Linked DNA regions of Xenopus tropicalis. The protein of the gene in region 3 interacts with the protein of the main gene of each other region in a pairwise test. Links are inferred from orthologs where the notes say so. Each region holds a gene or a part of one and is shown on either strand. Other genes may lie near its edges.

Region 1 (3,656 bases), on a different chromosome or scaffold from region 3:
CATCCTGTTCAGCTACAGAAGCAATTTCTGCGGTAAGTGTTGTAGTAACATGTGTGGGACTTTCTGCAACATGTTCTTTCTCTGTATGTTCATCAAACATAACTGTTGAACATTCTGAAATTTGCTTTTCATCTTCACTTGAAGCATTAATGGCAGCCTTGGCAGCTGTGGCAATATTGTTAGCCTGCTCCACTGGCACCACAGGGTCACTTTCTGTTGCCAACTCCTCTTTCAAAACAGAAACACTTTCTATTGCCTGTGTTGCTACAAAAATTTGTGAACTTTCATCAGTCTGTGTTTCAGTCAAAACAAAAGTACTTTCATTTTCTTTCTTGTCAGCAAAAATCACGGCACTTTCTGTAACCTTTACATAAATGTCCGACCTTTCTTCAACCTGCTCCTCTGCTAAAAAGATAGCTCCTTCTTTAGATTCTAAATCATCTGAAGCGTATGGATGTTCCAGGGTTTCTTGCTCATCTGATATTAAAGCAACTTCTTTAACTTGCTCTTCATGAACAGTAGAGGCACTTATGTTAGATTGCTCTTCACTCAATTCTTTTAGTAGCTCCTGTTCCAAGATTTGAGTATTTCCTTCAACAGTCTTCTCAGGTGCAATGTCTACTTGCTCAACAGCAGAAATTAAGTAATTTAAGACATGCTCTTTTACAGGAGGAGCCTCAACTTCTTTTGAAATAGGTGTGACTTCCTTAAAATTGTATTTTGCAGGAACAGGCTCATTATCTTGTGATGTTATGGAAACATTGGCACATTCTTCAACCGTATTTTCAGACAAAATATGAGCACTTTCATCCTGTTCCTCTGCAGTATCAGCTATTTTATCAGCATGGCTTTCACCAACTTTTACTTCAGCTGAACCAACACTTGTTTCCTCTCTTGCCTCTTCAAGCAAAACAGAATCTGCAAGATATTCCTTTGTGGCTACTGGGGCATCTGTATCAGCCTGATCTGCAGGCTCAACTGAAATGACAGGAATTTCATTAATGTGTTCCACAACAGAAATTAAGTAAGCCCCATCCTTTTCTATCACTGATTTAATTGCTGCTGAAATTGAGGTGTCCTTTTGATCATGACTTTCTGCTAATACAGTGGTGCATTCTTCAATCTGCTCAGCTGAAGTAAGGGTGCTTTCTATACCCTGCTCTTCAGCAGAAATGCAGGTACTTTCTTCAACCTGTTTTTCAACCAAAGCTTGAGTAGACTGCTCTGCCAATTCTGCAGCCTCATTGAGGACTTGATCTGGCACATCCAAACTCTGGCTACCCTCATCTTCCTCTGGAACAGGTGTAACTTCTTCTGTGGGGGTAAATGAGTCACCTAACTGTGAAGCAGCAGATATCATTTCTGTTGTCTCTTCAGCACATGAATATTCAATTGCTTCTTCAAGAGCAGTTAGAGCTTCGGAAGTTAATTCCACCTCATTTATTATAGTGTTTCCGGATCCTACCATCTGTGAAACTTCACCAAAAATAACAGCTTCTTCTACTGTAACTTCAGACTTTATTCTTTCTTTTGTACTGGGCTCTGTAAGTTCATTTGCTTGCTCAACAGTATCTGTGACACTTGCACTTATCCAAGAGGGGGCCCTATCTTCCAGACTGGTAACAGCTCTCTCTCCCTCAACAACAGTAACAGTAATTGCATGAATAAGGTCTTCAGAGGTATTCTCTGGTGTTTTTGCTTCATCTTTTGAGACATCAGTCAAAGCATCTTCAGTTTGCTGGGCTTCACGCTTTTCCTGCTCAGCTGCATCAAATTCAGACAATGGAACTACTGCCGGCACATCAGAATCATCCTCCATTGCCTCACATCCTTCTACTGATTTTCCAGCATCACTTATTGCAGCGTGTTCCTGCTTGCCTTCTGATTTTTTCTTTTTACGCCCAGGGATTAGTTTTTTAAATGATACCCATCCTTCTTCCTTTCCAGCCTCCCCATCTGAAGTTGGCTGTTCAGTATTAGACACTACAGCAGTCTCTTCAGTTTTCTCCTCTGCCCTGGTTCTCGATTTTCTCCTTGGAATAACCAGTCTTTTAAAGGACTGCCAAGTTGACCCGGCATCTCCTTCAGCAGGGCTTGTTGCTTGGTCTGGTGAGGGGCTATCATTTACTTGTTCCTTTTCTTGTGAGCTAACAATAGGGCCTTCTGGTTCACATTCTTTACTTTTATCAACATCTTCCTCTATTTTTTTATTCTCTTCAATGTTTTTTTGTGTTTCTTCCTCATCTGAATCAGATGTCTTTCGTGCTCTTTTCTTAGCTGAGCCAACACAGATTAATGCTTCCCATGACACTGAGTTGTCAACTTTTTTCTTATTTTCTTCTGTACTTTTTTCAAGTTTTTGTTCTTCACCATTTTCTTTGGCTTCTTCTTGATTCTCAACTGAACCAGCACTCTCAGTAGAGGACATAGTAGAAGTCTTTATCTTTTCAACTTCTTCTTCTTTATCACTTTCTGATGGTCTTTTGGGTCGTTTTTTAGGAGTGACTAGTTTTTTAAATGATGCCCATGGTGTAATACCCTCTCTTTTTCTCTCCCCATCAGATGTGGCCCCATCACCTTCTGTTTCTACTGCCTGTAGAGCATCTTCTGGCACTTTTTCTGTGGGTGAGGTCTCAGCTGACTCCTCAGGAGAAGAAGGTGAGGTATTGTCTCCATCTCCTTCAGGCATGTCTGATGATATTGGTACCTCTAAGGTAACTTCTGTCTTAGTGTCATCTTCCTTCTTGCCTTTATGCTTCTTTCCAGAGAGTTTCCTTAAACCAGTTCCACTGAAAAGCTTTTTTAAAGGGCTACCTTGTAGTTTAGCTTTTTCTTGTGATGACAACAGTTCAGTTTCTGTCATTATAGGTTCTGGACATATTTCAGCTTCTGTCCTCTCTGTGTTTATAGCTGCCTGGGCCTGTTCAGCATTTGTTTCTTTGTTATCTTTGTCACAGGTGACTTCAGTGTCAGGTGCCATTTCTGAAAGTGTTTCCTTTACTTCCTCTGTATTAGCAATAGAAGTGCTGACTACTGTAATTTGGCTTACATCTTTATCTTCTGTAGTGTCAGCTTCTTTCTTTTGTTCACTAAACTCAGTTGGCACTGGAACAGCATTGACTACTTCAACAGAAGTTTCTATACTTTGTGTGGCAGATACTTCACATATTTCTACATTTTCTTGTTTAATGTCTTCTTTGGGAACTGACAGTTCATCAGCTGGGCATTCTTCTGGCTTTGCTAATTCAATGGTGTTGGGCTGAGTTTCCTTATCGACAGATGCCTTTAATTCTTCAGTTTCACTTGCATCCTTTGGTAATGTTTCACCATTGACTATTATTTGGTTCTCCCCAGCTTCCTCTTTGGCTTGAGATTCAGCTTTTTCCTGTTCTTCACTTATAATATGCTTTTCTACTTCCTGATGATCCTCCTCCTTTGACTTTCTGAAGCTCGTCTTTTTTCTTAGTCCAGCCCAACCCTGTGCAAAAAATTTCTTTAGTGGGGAAGATGTTTCAACAACAAGTGGGTTGGTTGGAGATTCTGGTGTTTTGACCTGTTCTTTTTCTAATTTAGTTTCTTCTTCACTTTTTGGCTTTTCCCCAGAAACCTCTTCTTGAGTCTCAGATGTTTGAATTGCTGGTTCTACTACTGGTTCA
Region 2 (3,656 bases), on a different chromosome or scaffold from region 3:
AATATACTGTAGATACATCCATGCGTAATATGTTGCTAGAATAGCTGCATGTATAAATAGCACTTGGTTTCTCATGCATTTCTTCATTCAAAAAACATGTCTATCCTTCAGAGAAAAAAGGTACTTATGTCAAGATAAAAAATAAAATAGATAACGTGTGTTTTTAAAGGTTTATTTTTACTAAATTGGACAATAAATTCCTAAAAAATAGAAAAAAAATTAGCATGCATGATTGATTATGATCTGAATGTTTATACTATGGTCACAGTATATTCCTGATTCTTTGAGTAACTTTTTATCCTAGTGGATCACAGAACTGAGTGGTCGTATCCGTGCAGAATCATATCCTGATCATGGACTTCTGGTCATTGACTCAGCTGAGAGGGAAGACTCTGGTACTTACAGGATCATGGTTAAGAATGAGGCAGGAGAAGCAGTAGCTCATATCAAAATAAAGGTTGTAGGTAAGTATTAATAAAAAAAGGATTGTTCCTCAAAAGTGTTTTCTCTGTGTATAATCTGAGTTACCGTCACCTTCGAGATGGTGGTATCTCCAGGCTTCCACTCTATCAACCTACTAGCAGCAGCATTGATATTGGGTCCACACTCAATCTTTGTAAACAACATTATTTAACAAATATATTTCAAATTTAGTATTAGGGCTGATGTTGCATAGTCATATATCAGATTTTAATAACTGAATGCAATATGTATTAGGTGTATATTTATATTTAAAACAAATAAAATATATTTATATTCAGATATTCCAGATCCCCCACCAGCTCCTGATGTAACAGAAGTTGGGGAAGACTGGTGTACTATGAAATGGGATCCCCCAATATATGATGGTGGCTGTCCTATTTTGGGTAAGTAAACATATAGGTTAATTGTGGGTGGATTATATATTTAAGTACACCATCTTTTAGAAATGTAAATACAGCAAGAACAGACTAATAGTGGTAGCACAGTGAACTCTGATGGTACATTTTGATGGATTCTAAGATACATAGAACAGTAAAGTGGCAAATTATGTTTTCTAACAAGGAAGAGAGTGGCAAACAAGAGAACAAGTTACTTGAAAATGTGTGTATAACTACTGTATTTATAAACTAAAAGTGAAAAGTTATGTGTTTTCTCCATAAAGATCATATAAGCGGTCATTTACCTATCCCCCAGACAGAAGTACATTAGAGCACTAAGGGGTGCAAGAGGCCTACATGCCTACATGAATATAGCACTGCTGAACAAAAAGGTGCACCCCAGGTCTCTGTGTTCCTAAATGGACCTATAGTGTGATGTACACAAAAACATAAACATAGTTCCTCAATCCTCTTTTGCTGCATTAAACGTAATAGCAAATAGGACATTTTTGACTACCCAGAATTACAATGTCCCCAGTAGTACTGTTGTATTGAATAGAATTATCAGGAGAGGGTATGGCAGTTGCCTAATAGCTTGCTAAATAGTGTGAAATTACTATAGTGTGTTATTTTCATATGATTATGTGATTCAGCTGGCTAAAGAAAGGTGTTTTTAATTCTATTTGTGGGTATTGTGTCACCCACCCATGGGGTTATTTTGAGTGAGCAACAAAAGCCCCAATGTACCATTACCCTTAGGCATTCGAATCACCCTGTAATTCGGTTGAGTATGTGACTTTTTTGTTCTTTAATGTTTTATAAGGCTACTTTATTGAAAGAAAGAAGAAACAAAGTTCTAGGTGGATGCGGTTAAACTTTGACCTCTGCAAGGAAACCACATTTGAGCCTAAAAAAATGATTGAAGGTGTGGCATATGAAGTCCGGGTATTTGCAGTTAACTCAATTGGCACATCTAAACCCAGTCCTCCTTCTAAAGCATTTGTACCACTGGGTAAGTAAACTTGCAATGTCCTTTCATACTGCATACTGCATACTTTCATACAGCAAACTGGGCTCATTACTCAGTTTTATAAATCAGGAAAATGCAACAGTAGCTTTAATCTGAGTGGATCAACTTCTGTTTCTAAAGACACTGGCAGGATTATATCCTGAAAACACACACACTCTGATTTACTAACCCACGAATCCAAATCTGAATGGGAAAAATTCAGATTGGAAAACGAACATTTTGCGACTTTTTCGTATTTTTTGCGATTTTTTCGTCGCCGTTACGACTTTTCGTAAATTGTCGCGACTTTTTTGTAACCATTACAACTTGTGCGAATTGTCACGACTTTTTCGTAGCTGTTAAGATTTGCTCGTATCTTGTCACGACTTTTTCGTATTGAGCGCTCATAAACTGCGGGCAAAACTTTCAGACTTAGCATGATTTTGGAAGCCTCCCATAGGACTCAATGGCACTCTGTCGTAACGCTATGAAAAAGTCGCGACATTTTGCGAAACATTCATAACGGCTACGAAAAAGTTGCGACAATTTACGAAAAAATCGCAAAATACCGATCATTACGCATTCGGACGCCTTCGGACCATTCGTGGATTAGTAAATCAGCCCCTCAGTCAATTGTAGGCTATATTAGTCCAGAATGAGCTAATGGTTCAGCTCATAAAAACTCAATATAAGTCTATAAGAAAATTTAGAACTGCATTTCAGATTCAATCTGGCCCAATAACGTGTATGTATTATACTGACAGTGTTTATAACAGTTAATCAATCCAAATGATTCTTTGCAGCTGAGAAAATGTAGGGACAAAACATAGATAAATAGCCAAATTTAGAATAACCCTTATACTGTATACATTATTTATCTATGAAGCTGCTAGTAATAAAACTTACAGTGCTCTCTGACAATTCCAGGAGGCTATGTAGATAGATTTGACACTGTATGGTGTATACTAAGCCCACTAATCACTCTACTGCCCAACTGGACACAAGTGTAGGGGATAAATGTATCACTCCCTAATGATTATAAAGTTGGACAGCATTGTAGCGCTAATACTTAAAACAGAACATAAACATATCCCCTTTCTTCCTTTAGCTGTAACAAGTGCACCCACTATGTTAACAGTAGATGGAGTGACTGACAACTCTGTCACAATGAAATGGAGGCCACCAGATCACATCGGAGCTGCAGGTTTAGATGGTTATGTCATTGAATATTGCTTTGAAGGAGGTAAGCAAAGCATCTGGATGCACCTTCAGTTTAATAACCAACCATAATGCACTCCAGACTCATATGTTAACAAAAACAACAGCAGGTTTTCATTTGGGCACTATATATTATAGCAACCAATTGTCATTAGTCAGAATTGTAATTCTAAAACTTTCTGTATGATTTCTGGAAAACATAGCATTACTGGTAAACATATAAAAGAATGATATTTCTGCATCCTTTCAGTTTCCCTTGTGTCTTTTATATGTCTTCCAGACAAGCACAAAGAAATATAACCATCAACCAAAGAGTTCTGCATGCCTGCCCCCAATAGGCCACTGATGGTTATATTTGTGAGTCAGATGTGCATTCAACATCATTGAATAATCCATAATAAACCATCTTGCCATAGTCTTAATGGATTGATAACATATTTGGTAATACTATAAAAAGCTAAGCTACTGAGATAAAGAAAATAAATGATGAGTATTGTATGGATATGTAAAGAATTTGAGAACTATATTATACTTAAAAGTTGATAAAGGGCAGAAGTCAAACTCTAGCA
Region 3 (4,260 bases):
TGACGTAAATCGCTTACCTTGTACCCCGGGCTGGTGCCCCTGTTAGGAGAAAACAGCACCAGCCCGGGGTAGTTGCGAGCGCTTTCTTCTTCCAGTTTTGCGCGCCGGCCCATGAATTTTGCCGGCATAAGAAACGCGGAAGAAGGAATCGCTTGCTGCAGGTACCCCGGGCTGGTGCTGTTTTCTCCTAACAGGGGCACCAGCCCGGGGTACAAGGTAAGCGATTTAATTCACTTGGGGGTGCCTAACATTTTGGCACCCCAAGTGACTTAGCCTTTCCTTCTCCTTTAAAAATAAATTCTACGTCTCCAAAGTTCTTCCTGTAACTTCTTATTATTTATCTTGATCTGTTCCTTCTGATTATGCCTGGCCTATCAGGGTGCCAAGAAAACCCCTTGGTGGACCCAGGTGATTGGTGGTTTTGTATGCCTATATCACTGCCATTCCTCATTCCTGTATGAGAAAAGGGGATATAGAAACTATGGAGAGCAGGATAGATGAGTGTATGTAACATAAATAAGGTGAGTAAATAGTAAATCAAAAGTATAGACAGTAGGGCTGTGATCCAAGCCTTTCTGGTAGGCCCCTGGCATCTCAGTCCAACATTGCTAAACATCCTCAGTCCTGCAAGGGTAACTAGTGATTTTAAGAAGCACTGAAAAGGGCCCATCTATAAGAAACTGTGTGGTTTTGGTCTCCAGTTTTTTTAAAGGGATGTCATTGATAAAGGAAGGTTCAGAAAACAGTAACAAAACTCAAAGGATATGGAAAGTCTAAGACATTAAAAAAATACTGGCCAAGTTGGGTTTGTTCCAAAGGAGAACCAGTGCTTTTAGAGTTAGGATCACTATTTATGACTATATGGAAGGACAATACAGAGGATACAAGGGCATCCCATGAGGTTTGACTAAAGGAGGTTGCCTTTTAGAGTACAAAAAGGGCTTCGATAACAGAATAAAAGTATGAACTAACCCTTTATGTAAATTTGGCCTGGACTTGCAGATCGCAAACAATTTATCCCCTGACATCTCTTTGTATCCTAACAACAAACTGCTCCAAATAAAAACCTGGCCAGTTGCTTGGAAGGCTTGCCTTATGTCAGAGGATATCTAGAGAAAAGTGACAGATGCAGTACAAACAATGGCGTGCCTGAGTTCTGACGGAGCTGTCACAGGCTGCATGATAAACCCCACACAGCATTTGTCCGCTCCATATCAGAGTCATTTATTTAGGATATGTTTGCTCTTCAGCCTGTTGCCCAGACAACAGCTAAACCTTGCACTGTGGAGCTTCAGTTGCCATTTATGAACAATGAAGTCATCTTTATTGCCAATTACTGCCCTATTATTCATATATTCCCTAACAGGTTACATGCTAGGTTTTAACTGAATCTATAAAAGAATCAATCACACAATATAAAGGATAAGTACTGAGAGCACGCTAAGCTCCAAGAGTGATATGCTGTAGTGCAGGTGAGGGCACAGCAGACTTGGTTTCCACTGGAATTCCACACTGTGTCCCATTAATAGATGAGACCCACATTCTCCTAAAGACCTTATGTTTATTCTCTTCAGAGCGTAAGTCATATGAATAAACACTAATCTACAGATAAATAAGCCTTACTGCAAGGAAGGATTAGTGTAACTATACTTTAGTAGAAATTTTGACTTATTAATCAGCATGTGCATTACAAACTCAGCAAAACAGGTATGAAAAAAGTTCCAGGGGTGCTGGAGGTTTGTTTGTCTATTTGGTAGCCCCTATACAATCTGGCAGCCTACAGAAGGTTCTGTTTGGCTTTACACTGGGGTTTTTATGCAACAAAAACTTAATTAAAAAAATTAAAAAAGCTTAATTAAAAAATAAGCACCTGCTTTGAGGCCACTGGGAGAAACATCCAAGGGGTTGGTGAGCAACATGTTGCATACGAGCCACTGTTCGGGGATCACTGGAATAGCTCAAAGAGCTCACTGGCTTATATAGGGGTCTGATATACAGGGAAAATGGCCTGAGACACTACAGATACAATAGAAAGGCTAAACAGGCTCATTGCAGTATCAGTAAGAACAGAGGAAAAGGCAATCACCAGAAATGTCTTTACCACACCATTTACTCAGTCATTAAGGGGTTAGGTGGAGTGTAAGAAAATGTTAAATGAATGATCAATAGATACAAACATCAAATGTGTCTGATCTGTAATGGCATACAGTATATTTATATTTATTCTTTGTTTTCCCTTGATATAGGTCACTAGGTGTGACCAAAACGTTGGGAATTTAAATAAAGCCTTTTTGATTTTTTGTAAAATTCCTGTTGAGTGTGAAACCTTTGATTTATATACATATATATATACTCATATACACATATATTTATAGCTATGCTACAGAAACCCATTGGAAGCAATTTAGCACTTTGTGGTCTGAACACACACAGGTTATTGTAATCTGATCATGTTTATCTGCTGTTCTAGTGTCTCAGCTGTGTAACACATTGACACGTTGATGCAAAAATCAAACTCTAAAATACACTAACTTACTCAGCTATACCATCACTACTTCTAGCTGTGCCTAATATCCCTTTTAAATACACAAAATGAAAATTAGTCTCCATGCTTCAAAATTTAATCTGCAACAGATACCTCAAACCCCCACTTGCATCCTGTCTGAATACATAAAAATTGTGTAGAATATAATAGGATACACTTTAAAACAATATTCTGTTCATAAATATTTGCTGCAGTATGTAAACACTGTCATTTGGTCACATATTTAAATCTCATGTATAATACACTGCACAAATTATTTATGAGTTAATAAAATAACAGAGGAAGTTCTACATTTATTTACCTGAATGCCTTTCAAATGCCATTTGGGAACGAGAAATTCACAAGCAGCCTCCTTAGCCAAGTGGTCTGTTCTTTGGTTGATACCAAATGTACTGTTTGATAATGTATGTATACAGGGAGCTATTAATAAGGAGTCAGATGCAAAATGTTCACACCCCCCTCCAGGGATTTCTTGTTTAATCCTACTTGAAAAGCAAGACCATTTTTGGTTATCTTTTGAGAGAAGAATAGAGTCCAGAAAAAATCGTGTACACATAAAATGCCCATGCAACTACTCAGATTTCTAAATTAGCCACCCCATGAAAACACAGGAGTTCAAGCCCTAAGGAAACCTAACACCCCACTTAAATATCACAGAACATTTTCCCTGCCTCAGATGAAAGTTCAGGACACAAGTCCACTGTAAAATAATATTCCAGTGTTTGTAGATTTCTGCCAGGTATATACATCCTTATTTTGTTTGGAGTATAAGATATGAAGTGCTTTTCTTAAATTGGGTTGAGACCCTCACTGTTCTTAATACATTTACCATAGTGAAACTGAGTGATAAACTATACAATATGAAGCTGAGTCAACTGATTTAACCTTTTAACAGACCTGTCTTTATAAGAGGACAAGTAGTAGCAACTGCTTTATGATCATCTAAACAATGGCCAAAGGCCAAACAAATGTAAAATGCTGTGCTCTGCATCGCCAACAACAAACACTGGATGGATATGAAGTGCAATATGAATACCTTTATTGAAAGAGATCTCAAATCAATCCCTAAACAATATACAATAGTAATAAAAAATAAAATACATTAGATGGACGAAACAGCACCCTCTCTTATCCCACAAAAAGATTGTAGATGGGGCCCCTCAAAAAGGCTAAGATATTTTAGTTAAGTAGAGTGATGTTCAAATAATAATAACAGAAATGGGAATTGTACTCATCCAGCTGTACATAATTATGAATCTATCACTCCTCACTATAAGAGCACTTAAGGCATAGTAGATACACAATATAGTACAAAGTAAAATCAAAGATTAAAGATACATGACAAATAAAAACCTAATTTTCCTATTTCCATCTGGAAATTTTAACATTATGCAACAATTATATATTTTTTTTAAGTTATGAATGCCGATAACTGCAGTATATATATATATATATATGTATAAAACAACATGTTATAAATGTCACACTTCTACTTCATAGAGCATATTGAGCTTAGTGGGACAAGCACGTGGGTTAAACTCACAGCCAGTGAAAGAACATTAATGCAAAGACATTTCTGCATGTGCATGGTGCACAGGGGATGAATTATTCAATTTTCTTAGCATGAACTCCAGTTTTGGTGTATCCCGTTGTTATTACTATTTACGGTATTTGGATAAATATTTATCACCCCTGTACTAAAGGTGTGGGGCACG

What was found.
Region 1: the proteins of fhl1 (region 3) and akap12 interact in binary tests that used the Homo sapiens proteins (3 or more experiments, as listed by UniProt). The link is inferred for Xenopus tropicalis from reciprocal best matches to the Homo sapiens genes FHL1 and AKAP12.
Region 2: the proteins of fhl1 (region 3) and mybpc1 interact in a two-hybrid assay, tested with the Homo sapiens proteins (2 studies listed by BioGRID and IntAct). The link is inferred for Xenopus tropicalis from reciprocal best matches to the Homo sapiens genes FHL1 and MYBPC1.

Annotation. Positions count from the first base shown.
Region 1 is NC_030681.2:44,978,472-44,982,127, reverse strand, and holds part of akap12 (A-kinase anchor protein 12), read right to left. Parts: coding exon 1-3,656. UniProt on the Homo sapiens protein: Anchoring protein that mediates the subcellular compartmentation of protein kinase A (PKA) and protein kinase C (PKC).
Region 2 is NC_030679.2:48,935,858-48,939,513, forward strand, and holds part of mybpc1 (myosin-binding protein C, slow-type), read left to right. Parts: intron 1-304; coding exon 305-464; intron 465-761; coding exon 762-866; intron 867-1,683; coding exon 1,684-1,872; intron 1,873-2,977; coding exon 2,978-3,112; intron 3,113-3,656. UniProt on the Homo sapiens protein: Thick filament-associated protein located in the crossbridge region of vertebrate striated muscle a bands. Slow skeletal protein that binds to both myosin and actin.
Region 3 is NC_030684.2:68,791,340-68,795,599, reverse strand, and holds the start of fhl1 (four and a half LIM domains protein 1), read right to left. Parts: upstream 2,934-4,260; 5' UTR 2,869-2,933; coding exon 2,847-2,868; intron 1-2,846.